Arabidopsis thaliana: one gene and its partners. The protein of the gene in region 4 purifies or fractionates together with the protein of the main gene of each other region. This does not show direct contact. Each region holds a gene or a part of one and is shown on either strand. Other genes may lie near its edges. The genes, in order: AT3G23325, AT4G21660, AT1G11520 and emb2444.

Evidence for each region.
Region 1: the proteins of emb2444 (region 4) and AT3G23325 fractionate together in Arabidopsis thaliana (co-fractionation; one large-scale study listed by BioGRID). This does not show direct contact.
Region 2: the proteins of emb2444 (region 4) and AT4G21660 fractionate together in Arabidopsis thaliana (co-fractionation; one large-scale study listed by BioGRID). This does not show direct contact.
Region 3: the proteins of emb2444 (region 4) and AT1G11520 fractionate together in Arabidopsis thaliana (co-fractionation; one large-scale study listed by BioGRID). This does not show direct contact.

Annotation. Positions count from the first base shown.
Region 1 is NC_003074.8:8,343,844-8,347,650, reverse strand, and holds AT3G23325 (Splicing factor 3B subunit 5/RDS3 complex subunit 10), read right to left. Parts: upstream 1,882-3,807; 5' UTR 1,844-1,881; coding exon 1,838-1,843; intron 1,654-1,837; coding exon 1,568-1,653; intron 1,484-1,567; coding exon 1,360-1,483; intron 1,285-1,359; exon of another isoform or gene 995-1,284; intron 843-994; coding exon 795-842; 3' UTR 509-794; downstream 1-508. Other genes in the region: AT3G23330 (Tetratricopeptide repeat (TPR)-like superfamily protein), read right to left, coding at 1-451; AT3G23320 (Polynucleotidyl transferase, ribonuclease H-like superfamily protein), read right to left, coding at 2,447-3,022.
Region 2 is NC_003075.7:11,505,277-11,511,476, forward strand, and holds AT4G21660 (proline-rich spliceosome-associated (PSP) family protein), read right to left. Parts: upstream 4,632-6,200; 5' UTR 4,497-4,631; coding exon 4,275-4,496; intron 4,155-4,274; coding exon 3,903-4,154; intron 3,818-3,902; coding exon 3,755-3,817; intron 3,659-3,754; coding exon 3,551-3,658; intron 3,475-3,550; coding exon of another isoform or gene 3,433-3,474; intron 3,393-3,432; coding exon 3,033-3,392; intron 2,950-3,032; coding exon 2,857-2,949; intron 2,766-2,856; coding exon 2,679-2,765; intron 2,577-2,678; coding exon 2,475-2,576; intron 2,398-2,474; coding exon 2,278-2,397; intron 2,180-2,277; coding exon 2,117-2,179; intron 1,958-2,116; coding exon 1,815-1,957; intron 1,712-1,814; coding exon 1,630-1,711; intron 1,513-1,629; coding exon 1,408-1,512; intron 1,319-1,407; coding exon 1,157-1,318; intron 1,058-1,156; coding exon 983-1,057; 3' UTR 547-982; downstream 1-546.
Region 3 is NC_003070.9:3,871,131-3,874,154, forward strand, and holds AT1G11520 (pliceosome associated protein-like protein), read left to right. Parts: upstream 1-1,898; coding exon 1,899-2,489; downstream 2,490-3,024. Other genes in the region: AT1G11500 (transmembrane protein, putative (DUF1218)), read left to right, coding at 1-114, 212-440; AT1G11510 (DNA-binding storekeeper protein-related transcriptional regulator), read right to left, coding at 648-1,706.
Region 4 is NC_003071.7:8,030,443-8,035,446, reverse strand, and holds emb2444 (RNA-binding (RRM/RBD/RNP motifs) family protein), read left to right. Parts: upstream 1-1,827; 5' UTR 1,828-1,929; coding exon 1,930-2,034; intron 2,035-2,131; coding exon 2,132-2,180; intron 2,181-2,270; coding exon 2,271-2,359; intron 2,360-2,448; coding exon 2,449-2,505; intron 2,506-2,639; coding exon 2,640-2,702; intron 2,703-2,791; coding exon 2,792-2,857; intron 2,858-2,995; coding exon 2,996-3,082; intron 3,083-3,223; coding exon 3,224-3,317; intron 3,318-3,411; coding exon 3,412-3,893; 3' UTR 3,894-4,487; downstream 4,488-5,004. Other genes in the region: AT2G18520 (Tetratricopeptide repeat (TPR)-like superfamily protein), read left to right, coding at 155-1,411.

The DNA of each region.
Region 1 (3,807 bases), on a different chromosome or scaffold from region 4:
CATACATATTCATAAGCGCATTACCAGTATACAAATCACAATCCATACCAAGCCTAACAATAAACCCATGAACAGACTCACCAAATCTCAAATCCATCATCATCGTACACGATTTCAAAACAGAAGGAAACACATTGTGATCTGGGCATCTCCCAGAAGCTCGCATTTCCACAAACGAAGCTAACGCCTTGGAGAATAGAGACTGGTCGGTGAAGCATCTGATTACTGACTTCCATGCTAGAACAGGAGGAGACTTAAGGGTTTTGAAAAGAAGCAAAGCTTCGTGCAAAAGTTTAAGGTTTGTGTAGATTGAGATTACGATTGAAGCTGATGTATGAGAGAGTGATTGAGTTCTGATGAATTGTGCGTGAAGCTGCTTCGCTTGAGATTTGGATTTGATTCGAGTTGGATTCTTAATCAGGGTTTTGATTAGGGCTTTTGATGAACTCATCTTTGTCTCCTTCTCAGAGATTCACCATTAGCAAACATAAAGGTTTGATTTTTATTTTCGTCATTCATTTAAATACTCCAACTTTTAACCTCTTTTTTTTATGACTTGTTCAATTCAATTCTTTTGCAATAGTTGTTCGAGTAGCAAAAAGACTTTGAGTTTGACAATTGTATCAAGACTATAACAAAGTACAAATGTTTAGATCATGATCAACAACTGCATTATGAACTAGAAACAAGAAGAAGCCTTTTCGGCAATTACATTGGTGGAGCAGTTAAAGAAGATTGCACACAAGCTTCTAAGAAGTAGAATGTTTTTTTTAATTTCAAATGCACACAAGCTCTTACTCGTCTTCTCTTTCTGGAGGAAGGCCGCAAGGTAAGAGCATTTTCTGCAAAAAAAAAATCAAAGAAGTTTGGAGTTAGTAAAAGCTATTAGCAAAAATGCAAAGTCATTGACTCTTGAGTGTAGAAGAACCAGAAGATAACAGTTTGAAACAACCCTCAAGATTGGTAGTTTCCTGCTAACTTACGATATGATACAATCTGTTTTTGACAAATACAGGGTAAGGGTTAAAAGAGTTTCATGCTGCTCCCCTTTCCGGTTGCAGAGGCCAAGTAAATATCTTTGAGGAAGTTCCATTCTCCATTCTTAAGGGTAAGGAGTTGTTGCTGATATCAGAAGGAGGAATGTTGAAAAACTAGAATTATAGCAGGTTTTCTTGAGGCCCACAAGTTCCTTGAAGAGAAAGATATTTACTGGCTTCTCCAAGCTAAAGAGGGGAGCAGCAGGAACACTTTACCCTGTTTGAAACAACCCTAATTGTTCCTCTCCCTTAAGACACTAACACATTAACATTCTCAATATGATTCCTTGACATGATGCAAGAAGAAAGATAGTAAACAAACCTGCATGAAGTTGTAACGTTCTCGACCAATAGATTCGTTCTCAGCTATTGCAAAGTAAGAAAGCATCGGGTAGTGACCAATGTATGAAGCATAACTATCACGCTGAATGTTCACAGTCCATTCACTAACACAAAAACATTCAAAATTTTCAATAAGTTCACAATTTTGGAATCCTGAAAAATCCAAACAAAAAGTGAAAAATACTTACAATCTGCTCAAATCTGCATGACCTGTACCAACATACTTAGCTTGAAGATGCTCAAGCTGAGAATTTATGTTAAACCTATCACTTGCCTGCACAAAAACAAAAAAGTGAGATTACATAACTATCTGCTGCTTAAAAACCTAACCTTTACAAGAACTAAAGCAAATTGTTCCCAGATTTCAGCTACGCTTAGCTTAATCGTCAAGAAATTGTATAAAATTAGAGATAAGAACAAAAAAAAGTAACTAGGGTTTCGAATCGAGAGAGACAAACCTGCATCTTTCAGACTTCAGCGAGTTCGCAAGAAGAAGAATACAACTTCTGCTTCACTTTAATTAGGTTTATATATGTTTCACTGAGAAATTGATTGGGCTTTGAGAATGGGTCTGGCCCAAATCCATTACTAATAAATTTTTAATACGTGGCTATTATTATGAGAACCGGTACAAAAGAAAACCAAACCAGAACCGGACATTTCAATCAAACCAAATCATTAACTTTTAAATTTGGGATAAAAAAAACGTGAACTTCCGAAATGCCGCTAAAATTATAAAATTTCGTCTGACTTTTGATAAAATGATTAAGTTTCGTTGACTTTACTATTTTGGGCATGTCGTTAAATTTCCGTTAACAACAAAATAACGGAGTTAACTTTTCGTTAACATTTTCCGTTAGAAGCGAAACGACGTCGTTTCAAAATAAAAATATATTAAAATTTGCGCCAAGAATGGATTGAACTCGTGAACCTCCTAAATTATCACAAGCGCTCAACCAATATGCTATGATAACATTTCGATATTAATGAAAACTGATATATATATATATACGCAAAACTAATTAAAAACCGAACTATTTTTTTTTTTTTTCCTTCCAATAACTTTATTAATTCACGTGTTCAGCATCTTTGTTTACAAACGACATTAGAAATCTAGGACAAAAATGATATAGAGTATGATTTATATGATTAGCTACTGCTTTTTTCGCCAGAACATCAACACAAACGTTTTGTTCCCGGTGTCGAAATGTGAACTTCACAGTGGTGAAAGCTTTGCTCCATTGTTGAATGAATTCCAAATAGTATCGAAGTCGTGGATTAGTTTCTTTGTTTCGAATAAGGCGATTAACTGTGATGTTGTCGCCTTCAAATTCTACTCTCCTATATCCCAAATCCCAAGCGCATTGTATTGCCCATATGAGGGCAGTGCATTCAGCTTCCTTTATTGTTTGTCGACCCTGAAATTTCCCGCAGCCGCAGTCCAAACAGGTTCCTTGTGAGTTTCGAATAATCCATCTGAGGCCTGAGTCTTGTCTTCCCGCATGGTTAGAGACATCATAATTGCATTTGACCCATTCTGCTCCTGGTTTTTGCCATTTGTCCGTTCTTGAGGACTTGGTTTGGCCCCCTTTGACGTTGTCATCATTTTTATGCTTAACATCCAGCCATTCTTTCGTGTCCATTATCGCTTGGTTTATCACATCAGCGACAGCGATTGCTTTTTTGTTGAAGACTAAATCATTCCGGCTCTTCCAAATCCTCCATATTAACCAAAATGGCAAATAAAAATATTAAAAATGATGTAAATTATAAAAATGCACCTACCAAATAAAAACCGAACTATAAAAACAATAACTAAACATGTAAAAATATTAAATACACCTACCATTAATATATATTCTCAAATAACAATGTAAATTTTTTTATTAAACGTATTGAATTAAAAAAAAATTCTCTTAAATTATATAAAAATCAAACTTGTGAAATATAACACCTATAAATATATTACCAAAAAATAACTTTTTATATACTTTCCATCTAATTATGAATAAAAAAATTGATTTGAAGACGGAATAATGATCTTATATTTTTCTTTTATTAAATATTTATCAAATTAATTTATAAAATATATGTTTTATTATAAATAAAATTATATATAAAGTGAAGTTGAATGAAATTCTATGTGCATGTATAGATTAATCCTATATTCATATGAGAAGGATTGTGTAAATTTTAGGTAATTTTCTATATTATTGATTTATTTTAGTTGGTTATTTTTAATTAGTTACGTATATATATATATATATGTATATGTTTACTATACTTCTAAAAAGTTAACGTGGCTCAATGGTTTTAGTCCTTCAATAGCACCTAAAAGGTCACCAGTTCAACTCTACTTGGTGTTTGTTTTTTGTTTTTTTCTTTAATTTCAAAACGACGTCGTTTCGCTTTTAACAGAAAAAATTAA
Region 2 (6,200 bases), on a different chromosome or scaffold from region 4:
GTCTCATTTCAAGCATATATACTTTCTTATGTTTATATTAATCTTAGATTTCATTTGTCTAGCAAAGTTAAACTTTTAACTACGTGTTAAAAAAATTCTGACATCGCTTGTAGGCTGAATAACCATTCATATTTGGAGAGACTTCTTGTTGTTTCTAAATGTGTCTACCATGTAGAGGCCTATGTATAATGATTAATAAGCGAGATTTGAAAAGAAGATAAATAGATAATGTTGAAAGAAAGGTGAAGAAAGGCGATTTAGGAACCCTACGACTCTACGAGTCATCATGCTCATGATAATGTTGAAAGAAAGGTGAAGAATGGTGGTAGCCCGGTAGGACAATGAGTGGCATAATTGGCCATTTGTCGCTGTTTCATTACTCTCCCGGAATGAGGTGTGGTCGAATCATTTGTCGCCTAATATTGGAAAAGTAATAGAATACATCATTGAAAAAATCCACAGTATGTTAAGTTTTTTTCATCACATGCAGGGATTGAACAACCCAAGGATCATGCCTATGAATTAGTTCACACTATGCATATGACAGTAACATATGAACATAATTTGGTTTCAGGAGCGAATGTCGTGAAAATGTACATATTTTTGCCTCGCTTAAAGATAACAAGGTGCACTGAAATAGATCACATCGACGGTTTATTCTGTAGACCGAATGATCAATCTTTTAAAAACCATAAACGCTGAAAGTACTCGGACAATTTGAAAAACAAGACGTCGCTTACAAAACAAAGCCTTTTTTCCCCACTTTTTTTGTTCCAAGTCTCAGGCTTTGAATTTGTTCAAATTCCAAAAACAAAGTTTTACTTAAGCCTTCAGATAACAACATAGTATAGAATCTCATAAGCATTAAGACTAAAACTCAAGATCTCTGACTCAAAGACTAATAACTCTGGAACAAGAATCTCTCCCTATCTCTCTCATGTCCAGAATCCAGAATCCTTTTCCGTGTCTCTTCCAGAACACCTCAGAATTTGAAATCTTTCTTCTTCTTCCCTTCCTTGTCATGCATTTTCCTCTTCCTACTATTCTGCTGCACATGCTGTTAAACATTCCACCAAGTAAACGTTTGATTATTCATCCGCATTCATATCAATAGTGTTGAAAAAAATAGAGATATAAATATAAAGAAAGTCATTACCTCGACGACCATGTCACTCAAGTCCACTGGCTTATTGCGCAATTTCTCCTCTTCTCTTGCCTCCTCATACTTGGCAGGTAAAACATTTTCCATAGCATCCAGCTCTTCTGGCTGTAAGCTGACATCCACTCTGTCTGTCTTCTGCCCTCTCAGCAAATCAACCTGCTCAATTTGACACAATTGCATACGTTAGCCCACTTGTCATCAAGCAAAACAACAAATCTCTGAGCATGTAACAACAGACTGCTTACCCTTTTGGCTCCCGTCTTTTCTTGAGTACCAGTCTTAATAACGTATGTGTGTGAGGTTCCCAGCAATGTTCCAGGAGCAACACTCTCTCCCTTTTCCTCGAGTACCTTCACAAGTCAAAAAAAAAAAGGCATTAACGACCAGAAACAGTGAATTATTGGTTTATATCAAACTAATAGAAAAGCCTACAAGGCGTGTAAGATCATCAAAATTAGGTTTCAAACCTGGTATAGAGCCCTATCAGGTTCCTTTCTCTGATCCTTACGAAGTTCAATTGCATCCGGTGTCTCTATACCAGTAGGAGTGCTGAAAGAAGGGGAAAATCACAAATCAGCTTTATACTTAGATTATACTGATAAGGAAACAAATAAATAGTATACACCTCATAAATGCATAATGATAACAATACCTTGACAGTGTATCAACAGATTCAGTGCCGTCTTCTAGTTCCTCTTCATCCATCTCCTCTTCTTGTTCCTCTTCTTCCTCCTCCTCTTCTTCTTCCTCTTCCTCTAAATCACCCCAGTGCTTGCTCTTATCAATTGGCTCCTCCTAAGATAATGATAAAATACAACCGTCATACTCTATCACCAAATTGTATGATCTCTAAATATTCAATAGGACGCTTTTACTTTGTATTTTGTGGTATCTACCTCGTAGCACAATATGCAATTACTAAGGAGAATAACAGAGAGAGATGAAAACAGTTACCTCGTAGTTAGGCTGATCTTGTTGCTGGACACCAAAAACATCTCCATACAATGGACGCCCATACTATGTAACACAAACGATAAGAACGGGAAAAAAATAAAAGTTAGTAGATGGCATAGAAATAATAAAAAAGAAGAATGTAGATAAAAAAAAATGCTTACTTCGTCAACTGGAGGTTTCCCCCAGCCGCCAGCATGAAAACCAAAGCTAGCTCCAATTGGAATAGGAGCATTCAAACCAGGAATTTTCAGATGTGGGTAAGAAGGAGGCGGACCATATCTCTGTCAAAGAAGAGATTAAAGGTGAACAACTCGATTCCAATCAGAATAATTAAAAAGATAAGTCACAATAAACTCACCTGCATGTTAATCAGCCATGGGGGAGGAGCGCCTTCAGGCATACCAAGAGCTTCTTTTAAGTCGTTTGACAAAAACCCTGGTTTCGTTTCCCTCAGTTTAACCTATTTCCCAAATGATAGTAATTAGATTTTAGGTAAACAAACCAATGAAACCAAGCAATGTAATTATAGATAAAGCTGAAAAAACATGTCACAAGGAATTACCTCAAATTCTTTCCCTTCAAAATACAAATCGCCTAGAGCTGACAGCTTAGGCTTTGTTTGGTATTTGAAAAATGCATCATGAAGTACCTGAGAAAGGAAAGAATAGCTTCACTTGTCAGTTATAGAACAGATATCAGCAAATACTCATCACAAAACAAAGATTAAAAAAAATAGAAACCTGGTAGTCAATGTCCATCTTTCCCATTTTTGGTTGCATTCTCTCCCGTTGCTTTTGCTTCAATTTCTTACCATCTTCTTTCTCAATGTAAGCCTACATAAGAACCACACAAGAATTAGCTGACAGTAGAAGCATTTAGCGACTTGCACCTTATATTGATAGAGAATAACTTTTACCTGTCTAATCTTCTCAATTCCGGTTGCAGCAATGAAATCAGGAAGATGAAATGGCTGCTTCTCTATCCCACGCTTTCCCTGCAAAAATGAAACCCCGCTGAGATGCCACCAACTTATAAAAAGAAAGAAAAAGCAGTATAAAAGTACTACAAAAACAGATGCATCTAAAAGCAAGATCACTATCATGCATACGAAAACAAAATACAGTTTCAGAAAGGGAATATCCCAAACTGATTCATTAAACAGTTTACTCCAAAACCTAAGCACCACAGATTTCATATATAGACAGAAAAAAAAAATTAAGAGTCCTCTCCGGTTACACCTACAAGTCCAGGCTCCATGGTTATCACAGATGTTCTCCTGCAAGAAGCATATATAGGTATAAGGAAACTTAATTGACATGGTTATCACAGACGTTTCTATCCCTCTTGATATAATTCCCCTATGTACCAGTACCACACCCACAAATCACAGAAACATATAGTTAACTACAGTACATTACTAGAATTATCACAAACCTGCAAATATTTTCTCTTCTGCGACCAATGTCTTGGAACAGGAACTGTATTCCGGTACGACTTCAAAAACACTAACAGCTTTGGATCTGCTGAAGTCGCGTCCCAGACCTGAAAATTGTAAAACAGAACTTATGAATATACAATAGATATCTACACAACGAGATAAACCTTGGTACTATGAACACAATAGAGAAGCATCCATACCTCAACAACATCAGGCCTAGCGGAAACCTGCTTCAGCTCAGCAATCTTCATTCTCCGTTGAAGCTGAGGAAACAGAAATTCAGAATATTCAGAATCTAAAGAATGCAATAAAACAAATTGAGAGGTAATAATAAGGTTTGAGCTATACCTTTTTCTTCTTATTAGAGATGCCTTTCTCTTTGTTCTGATTATCCTGCTCGTCGTCGTCTGAATCAGAATCAGAGTTAACCTTCTTTTTGACATCTTCTTTCTCCTCAGACTCATCTTTCGTACCGTCTTCTTCAGAGGCAAGAGGTTCGCGGAAGTTGAACTTCTCGAAGATTTCCTTAAACTCATCGTTAAAACCATCTTCAAATTCAGCTTGCTCTGGAACATACTCTATCACAATCTGCTCACAAACCTATCAAAGAGAAACATATACCAAAAATCATCAGCAAACGATAAACAATCACAAACCCTAAGAAAAACCCTAGAACACCTCTCCATGAATCGAGTACGAGAAGATGAGCACAAAGTTAACCTGTGGCTGGGGATCTGTATTCTCTTTGGATTCAGAAGCAGCAGAAACGTCCGATGCATCTACATCGGCTTGGGATGCTTTGTTGTTCTTCTTCTGCTTCCGTCTGCGGCGGCGACGGTCAATCTCACGAGATTTCTTAGAGGAAGCGGAGGTGTTTCCGTTGGAGACATCACCGTTAGAAACGACGCTATGAACGAGTGCGACGGTTGAATCGGCGGTCATATTCGGTGTTCTCTCTGAATCGGTGATGTGAAAAGAGAGATTGAGAGGAGAAGGAAGAACGACGGAAATCGAGGATATACGTATATGAACAAGAGTCGGTTTGCTGAAATTCTCTCTGATTCTATTTCCGGTTTGGCATAAGGCCCATATAAGTAGAAGACGAATATATCTGCCAATAGGCCCAACACTTTATATTTTTCTTCGAGTGTAAGAATTGTTTTGTAGAAGACCATCTACTAGTAACTAATAGAAAATTTCAAAGGAAATGTATGGAACAATATTCAAACACTACTATAAATGTTGGCACGAGTTAACTCTACATTATTCGTAAAAATGTTCTATTGAACTTTTAAAATTATAAAATTACAGTTTACACAATGTCTTGAAATTTTGAAGAAAGTTATAAGTATCAAAATTGTATATATGTGGGTATTTGAGATTTAAATAAAATTCTCTGACTAACAACAAAACTTTTAATAAAATTTAAATGTTTTAGTTTATTATTCGTAAAAATTTAGTTTTTACATGAATTGAGGTAATTTTTATTCACTTTGAGATTTTATTAATGTGAGCACGACTCCCGGTGTATGTTATCGGTTGTTTATTATGCAATTAGAACAATATACATTGTGCCTTTTTAGTTTCAAAATTGTTTTCATAAGACATTAGGAAAGAACACGGAAAAAAAAGACATTAGGAAAGAATTTTGTAACGGCTTTTGTACGTAACGGTTATTTTTAAACAAGGAAAAAAATACTGTCTATAAAAAAAAATTATCTTTACGTAGTTGTGTATTTTAGAAAACAAAATAAATCATTTTTTATTTACTAAACTATTATTTTATAAGGAAAAGATTGAAAAGAGTAGGGGAAAGATATATGTGAAAAAATATTCATGCTTGGTAGATAAAAAATATTTCACAAATAAAGAGACAAGTATATGTCAAAAATATCATGTCTTTTGAATAAATAATCTTCTAAAAAAAAAGAATTAGATGAACTATAAATATCTTGTGGTATATGAATCCTTGACACTGTAAAAATCAAAACATGAGATCAGAAACACAAGTATAAAAGTACATTACAAGTACGGTATGAATCGAAAAAAAAACAGAATTTGACAGGTTTTGAGCTGATAAAAACTATTTCAGGCTTTTATTAATTTTTAAAAATAGTATTAATTGTTTTTAAAATAAGACATAAATAAAAAAAAGAACGGTTAAAGAAAATGAAGGGGCCCTTCGTGTTTTGTTTTCCCTTAAAAAAACCAAGGACAAAGGCATAATGCCGTATTCACAATCTTGACTCTTCGTTATCTGGATCTAGGGTTTCTCTCGATTTTTAGAACGCCACAAAACCTAATAAACTTTTCCCAGATACACAAACAAACTCATCATCAACCAAGGAAGAAGAAAGAAACTAGGGTTTTTTTTTGTGGATTCATCATCGGTATTTTACAGATCTATATTCAAAGGGAACAAAATCTTAAGGAACAAACACTAAATTTTCATTCTTTCTCTTATTTACCCATTTATCAAAAATCTTCCTTTTGTTTTCCTGATTCTTGCTAAAGAAAAAAACTCGGATCCAATTCATAAACTAGTGTGGACTGGTGATCAATCTATCAATTCTGGCCAAGGGACAACAAAAAGTTTAGATTTTGATGAACCAATTTTGAGATGAGACAATAGACATCCATTGATCT
Region 3 (3,024 bases), on a different chromosome or scaffold from region 4:
TGTCCATGTCCTAGCTAATGTGCTTGGAGGCTGCACTTACATTCGCTCTAAGCAAGATTTCAAAAGAGCAACGGCGAACAAGATACTCGCTGTGGCTTTCCTTGTTCTCTCCTGGTAATGGAAAAGATAATAGGTTTTTGGATTTCATTCAAAAGACAAATTTGAATTATGTCAGCTGTTTTTGTTTTTGACATACCTTTGTTTGTCTTAGGATCTTTTTTGTTGTCAGCTACTCAACGCTAATGATAGGAACATTAGCCAACTCGAGAACGAATCGACTCTGCAGCTTGCCACATCGTTGGTTTTTTCTTATTGGAGGCATATTTTGTCTAGGACATGGAGTGGTGACTTCAGCATATTATGTTTCAGCAATTGCTGCTAAAAAAGAAGACAAAGAGAATGCGCAACAAGAAAATCTAGCAAATAGAAGCCGCGCATAACACGTCTTCTTCATCAAGATACACAAAATGTTTCATCTGTAAATAAACTTAAATTGCTTCAAAAAAGCTTCCTTCCATTTTGATAAATCCGCAATATTCCAAAATAAACTCTTTCAAGAATCAATAGAAAACTAAAATATAATATAAAAAAGCCAAGAGTTCTAAACAAAAGAGGCAGAACCAAAAAAACAAAAACCATAAATATATCTAAGCGTTTGATCCAAATGCTTCAGATATCTTTGATAGCACTTCAAAAAGAAAACCATGCTTCTGCAAAAAGAACTCAAATTCCCTAGCCTGCATCGCTTTCCACTGCTCGTAAAATCTCTTCATATCCTTTGAGGCAAGCTTACTCAATCCTTGTTGAGCAGTAAGTTCATCCATGCCAAGACCCACTATCGATCTAACAAGAGAAGACTTTGTAAAAGAGACTTCTCCTTCATCCATCACCTCATCTTCACAGTTGTTTTTACTGTTGGGCAAAGAAGAATCAAGTTCATGCTTCACAGACTCAAACTTACTACTCTTCTTCGACTTCTCATTAGATTTCATACCAGATGCAAGAGCCATTCTAATACCTCCCCAAACTAACTTAGACAATTCAAAAGCCTTGCGATCATGAGGTTTGACGAAAGTAGGTTCAACACCATCCTTGGCTTTACCAAGATTGTTCTCATACTTCTTCTTTAAAGCCCTAAGCTTTTCCATAAGCTGATTCTTACTAACATCAAAACTAATAGATTTTTTCACCAACTCATAAACCTTATTCGTATTACTTACCCCTGTATCTTTTTTGTCATCAATCAGACCTTGTAAAACCACAATCTCATCATCTTCAGTCCAAAGTCGCTGGAAATAAGTTTTCTTCGTCTCTTCTCCTCCGCCACCACTCTTCTTCTTCTCCTCTTCCCCTGAAACCTTCTTAGCCCTCTTCACATCCATAGACACTGCTGCTTCATCCACTTCAAGAGAACGTTTAGCCCCAGATTTCTCGGAGGTTTTCACCTTCTTAGCCCTCTTCACATCCACAGGATTCGTCACAACTTGATCTTTCTTCTTCTCGAGTTCAGAGTCTGAATCGGTTTCTTCATCCGAACCAGATTCGGAATCGGAAACGGCGTCGAGAGTCGTCTTCAAAGGTGATGGGTTTTCAGAGGAAACGTCATCTTCATCATCCGAAGAAGAGTTTCGTGCGATTTCTTTACCTTCTTCGTCGCTTGAAGAAGCACTCGGCGGATCTTCTAACGGATTGAAACGTCTCGACATTGTTTTAGGGTTTATGGGACTTTGGAGAGACTTAAGAGGTTGAAATTGAGATTTTTGCTTTGCTGCCTTCACCACTTCGTTCTTAGGGTTTATATATATTGAACAAAGTGTCTCTCTGTTTTCCAAAAATAAATAATCAAAAAATTATTGGAAAACGTATAAAATTATTTATTGTTTTTCCTCTTTTTTTGCATGACGTTTAGATTTCCGATTTCCTTCCTTAAAAATTTGGAAATTAGCTATATTGACCAATTTTATTTCCCTATATTTTATCTCTTACAAATAAATGTTAGATCTCTCTTTTCACAACAACACCCGAATATGACCGCTCATTCAATCGTCGCACACGTTGATAGCGTCCTTCCCAAGAAATCTCGTGAGATCGACCGTCGCCGCCGCAGACGGAAGCGGAAGAAGAAGAACAAAGCATCTCAGGCCGATGTAGATGCAATGGACGTGTCAAAATCTCTGTCAAGCACTCCTACTGGTATTGAGACACCGGATGCAATTGAACTTCGTAAGGAACAGAGAAAGGAACCTGATAGGGCTCTATACCAGGTACTTGAAGAAAAGGGAGAGAGTGTTGTTGCTCCTGGAACATTGCTGAGAACTACACACACATACGTTATTAAGACTGGTACTCAGGACAAGACGGGAACCAAAAGGGTTGATTTGCTGAGAGGGCAAAAGACAGATAGAGTGGATTTCAGTTTACAGCCAGAAGAGCTGGATGCTATGGGAAATGTTTTACAGTATGAGGAGGCAAGAGAAGAGGAGAAATAGCGCAATAAGCCAGTGGACTTGAGTGACATGGTCGTCGAGCATGTGTAGCAGAATAGTAGGAAGAGGAAAATGCATGGCAAGGAAGAGAAGAAAAAGAAAGATTTCAACTTCTGAGGTGCGTTATGGAAGAGACAAAAAAAAAAAGATTTTAGATTCTGGACATGAGACATAGAAAGAGATTCATGTTCCAGAATTATTAGTCTTGAGTAAGAGATCTTGAGTTTTTAGTCTTAATGCTTATTAAAAAAAAAAAAAAATGTTAGACCACCAATGATGTAAATTTTTAAATAGGTGATTGCATCATTGTGTAAACCTAATATTTACATTTTGAAGGATTTGGTCTTTCTGCAGTATGTAAGTTAATTCAATCCCCTTATTATTCTGACTTGTAAGGGGATTCAAACCCCATCAATGGTTTCTAAACTTAAGTTTCTTATTTTAGAGAGATAAGTTTTATTATAAAAAAATGTGTGGGTTTTTTGATTAATGAAGAAACCATCTCCAAAATACTTTATATAAGAAATTTTGGAGAGAA
Region 4 (5,004 bases):
GCGGGCTAGCGGCCCCGCTTGACAACTCTAGTCACGTTAGTAAGGTGTTAATGTGGAATCATTTTGCAAAACCTATTTCTTCTACTAAACTCTTAAACCCTAAAGAGTAAAGACATTTGCACTACCCCGCGTGGTCGACGATTCGACGCTTCCAATGACGTCATCTCGCCTCTATCTCCGTTTCCTCCGCCGCTTCTCCACCGCCACCGGTATAGATTCTCAAACCACTGCTTACCCCGGCGCAATCACTATGTCCAAAGCTAAATCCAAACTCCGCAAAGTACAAGATCCAGACAAAGCCTTAGCGATTTACAAATCCGTCTCCAACAATTCCACATCTCCACTCTCCTCTCGTTACGCAATGGAGCTTACAGTCCAACGTCTCGCTAAATCTCAACGCTTCTCCGACATAGAAGCTCTAATTGAGTCTCACAAAAACAACCCAAAGATCAAAACAGAGACTTTTCTCTCTACACTTATCAGATCTTATGGACGAGCTTCAATGTTTGATCATGCTATGAAGATGTTCGAGGAGATGGATAAGCTTGGCACACCCAGAACCGTTGTTTCCTTCAATGCCTTACTCGCTGCTTGTCTTCATTCTGATTTGTTTGAAAGAGTCCCCCAACTGTTCGACGAATTTCCTCAGAGGTATAATAATATCACTCCTGATAAAATCTCTTACGGTATGTTGATTAAGTCGTATTGTGACTCTGGTAAGCCTGAAAAAGCTATGGAGATTATGAGAGATATGGAGGTTAAAGGTGTGGAAGTTACTATCATTGCTTTCACTACCATTTTAGGATCTTTGTATAAGAATGGTTTAGTCGATGAAGCGGAGAGCTTGTGGATTGAGATGGTGAACAAAGGTTGTGACTTGGATAACACAGTTTATAATGTTAGACTTATGAATGCTGCGAAGGAAAGTCCCGAGAGAGTTAAGGAATTGATGGAAGAAATGAGTAGTGTAGGATTGAAACCTGATACTGTTAGCTATAACTATCTTATGACTGCGTACTGCGTGAAAGGAATGATGAGTGAAGCCAAGAAAGTGTATGAAGGGCTTGAGCAACCAAACGCAGCGACGTTCAGGACATTGATATTTCATCTGTGTATAAACGGGTTGTATGATCAAGGTTTAACGGTGTTTAAGAAGAGCGCGATAGTGCACAAGATTCCGGATTTCAAAACTTGTAAGCATTTGACTGAAGGATTGGTGAAGAATAACAGAATGGAAGATGCAAGAGGAGTGGCCAGGATCGTGAAGAAGAAATTCCCTCCGCGTTTGGTGACCGAGTGGAAGAAACTAGAGGAGAAGCTGGGATTGTATTCAAAGGGTAATGCAGCTGCTGTTTCATCTTCTTCTCAAACTAGAGAAGTGTTAGATCAAGAAAGAGAGGATGATGTATAAAGCTCAAGAAGTTGCTTAGAAGATCTTATTTTTGTTTGTGCTTGCTTGCTTCAGCTAATATTATGGCTTGTGGAAACTGTGATCTAGCGTGTAGAAGACAAACGATTCCCAATTTACTTGTCTATGCTTTGAGCCAATTACTACGCTTGCGTTGAAAGTTAACCGTATTTTTTTGTTCTTTTCCCCCAGATCATCTGAACTATAGTCTGAATTGTGAAAATTTCATATCGTTTAACAATTTAGGTTTACAGTTATTTGTAAAACCAATTCCCAAAATGATTAGTAAAAAAAACTCAAAATCTCTAGACTCTAAATAGGCTAAATATCTTAATGGATATAAAAGAGCTTAATGGGCTTATAGGCCCATTAGAGACGGCACCACTCTAAATAAACCCCTCTTTCTTCACCGTCCGTTCTAACTTCTAGAAAAATCGCCAGAAGTGACGAAATTGAAAATCTCAGATTTCTCTTAATCGGCGACGGAGTAACGAAACAAGGAGAAGAAGAAGAAGAAGAAAATGACGACTCGAATCGCTCCTGGTGTTGGAGCTAATCTTCTCGGCCAACACTCCGCTGAGAGGAACCAAGACGCCACTGTTTACGTCGGTGGTCTCGATGCTCAGGTTTTTTAACTTTTAGGTTTCGTGAAATGATTCTGGATTTTCTCATCTTCCTCTGTGAGTTGGTGAAATTGATTTAAATTTCCTGTTTGAATCTCAGCTTTCTGAAGAATTGCTTTGGGAATTGTTCGTTCAAGCTGGACCTGTTGGTAAGTTCATATCTATATCTCCTTAAGTTTCTTCAATAGCTAATGGCTTTTGATTAGTGGAACAATGATATTGTTCTTGGCCTGTATCAGTTAATGTCTATGTACCGAAAGATAGAGTGACAAATCTTCATCAGAACTATGGATTCATTGAATATCGTAGTGAGGAAGATGCTGATTATGTAAGTGTTGCTCTTTTTCACTTACTGTGAGAAGTTAATAGACTTTTTTTTGTGTACAATGTTGAAGAGATTTCGATGTTTCTGTGCAGGCGATTAAGGTTCTTAACATGATTAAGCTCCACGGGAAGCCTATACGTGTTAACAAGGTATCGAATTGTTTCTGTAACTTACATTGTTTAGTATCGAGCGGATGGGTTTTGTGAGTTTTGATGCTGAGACTTGTTTAATCTATCTTCTATGAGTTTGCTAACATTTTGTTTGCTGGTTAAATTTGTATTAGGCATCTCAAGATAAGAAGAGCCTGGATGTTGGTGCTAACCTTTTCATTGGAAACCTTGACCCTGTAAGTATCTTTTGTGGTAGACTCTGATTTTGATACTCTACAAAGGTCATTTAATCTCTTAGCTGACCAGGTTTTGTTTTCTTTTATAGGATGTGGATGAGAAGCTCTTGTATGATACTTTCAGTGCATTTGGTGTGATTGCTTCTAATCCTAAGGTAGTATTTTTTATTTCATTAGATTGTAGTTCATGATTCTTGATCTCTTTATCTGTCTCCTGTCACCGATTCGATAGTAAATTAGGATTCATCGGTATTCCACTGTGGAGAATAAATGTTAGAAACTTTTCATTTCAGATAATGAGAGATCCCGATACTGGAAACTCACGAGGTTTTGGTTTCATCAGCTATGACTCCTTTGAAGCATCTGATGCTGCTATTGAGGTAATTATCTGCTTCTTTCATAACTCTCAGTTCTATGAACTTGCTTACGAAAAGGAGCCCAATATATTTCACACATTTAACTTCTCCGATTACCTAATCCAATGGTAGTATATTCCTCTGATCTTTGTCTGACTATTGCAGTCAATGACTGGACAATATCTCAGTAATCGTCAAATCACAGTCTCTTACGCATACAAGAAAGACACCAAAGGAGAGCGCCATGGTACTCCAGCAGGTTAGGCTCTACATACTCTTTCTCTTTTCTTAACTTATGGATTCAGTTTCTCTCCACCATTGGATCAATAACACATTACTGTTGTGAATTACAGAGAGGCTTTTGGCAGCCACAAATCCAACTGCCCAGAAAAGCAGACCCCATACGCTATTCGCAATGGGCCCTCCATCCAGTGCTCCTCAAGTTAATGGTCTACCACGTCCGTTTGCTAACGGCAGCATGCAACCTGTCCCGATTCCCGCTCCCCGTCAACCACCACCACCTCCTCCACAAGTATATCAAACTCAGCCACCATCCTGGCCATCTCAGCCACAACAACACAGCATGGTCCCACCACCCATGCAATTCCGTCCACCTCAGGGTATGCCTCCGCCACCACCTCCTCAGTTTCTAAATCACCAACAAGGTTTCGGTGGTCCGAGGCCGCCGCCACCACCTCAAGCCATGGGAATGCACCAACATGGAGGATGGCCACCGCAACACATGCAGCAGCAAGGTGGACCACCACAACAACAACAACCACCATACCAACACCATCACATGTCTATGCCTCCACCACCACCACACCAAGGTTGATAATAATCATCGCCTCAGTTTCGGACCAATTCAACTATATGTAAACCCTTTCTTTACTGGCAAGTAATCCCGAGGATTTTCCGTTTTAGATTCAATGAAACCTAATAGGGAGAGAGAGAAAGAGAAAGAGAGAGGGTGAGAGAGAGATCACAATTAATATTCTATATTGTCTTGTCTGCAGAGAATCTCTTATCTTCGGTTTAGAGAGAGAGAGAGCGTAGAAATTAGTGCCAATGTGTGTCTGGTTTTTAGTGATGTTATTTCTTGTTTGTGTTGCAGAATCTCTGATGCCGTGTGCTTTAATATTTACCAAAACTGTGCTGTAAAATCTCAATAATTTTACTTCTGACCTTTGAGGTTGCTTTTTACTCTAAACAAGAAAAAGACAGAGGAGTAATCAGTGATGGAACAGAGGTGGCTTGTTTTTCAAGTTATGGACCCATTCTCCAAACTTCAATAGTCTCTCTGACCATTTCATCTTGTGAATTCAGCTTCAGTCTTAAAAACCCTAAAAACACTGAAGATAGAGAGAGACGCATCTCTGTATATGTTTTGTTGTCTGAGAAAAGTAAAGGACAAATATTCAATTTTAATTAAACTTTTTGTCTCTTATCGATTTCAATCATTTGTCACTTCGTTTGCTGACTCGAAATAGTCCACATCGACCGCCCAAGTGTCATCTACTAAGCATTTAGATATCGTAAAAGTGAACATCTGTTCCTATCTAAGCCAATAAGCCATCTTGTATTGGTGTAAATTGTGAAACCCACAGTTCTACTACATTTCTTGGGTTGGTTCAAACTATCTACGTATACATTTTTGTAGTCACTTTGTGAAATAAATCGTGGAGTTGGAATTTATTTACAGTAGCTGCCATTGGTATTAATATTTAAGATTTTACTTTTTAAAATAAAATAAATTAACAAACGAATGTACAAATCTATTTCCATAATTTTCGCAGCAAATCTTTCCAAACAACCAAATATTTAATGTGATTACAATTACTAACTCACAAATATTCCATTCCGTGATTTTTCCACAGAAAATATTGTTATTAACGAATTTATAGAAAATATTAATTACTGGTATAATCATTATGGTAGCATATTCC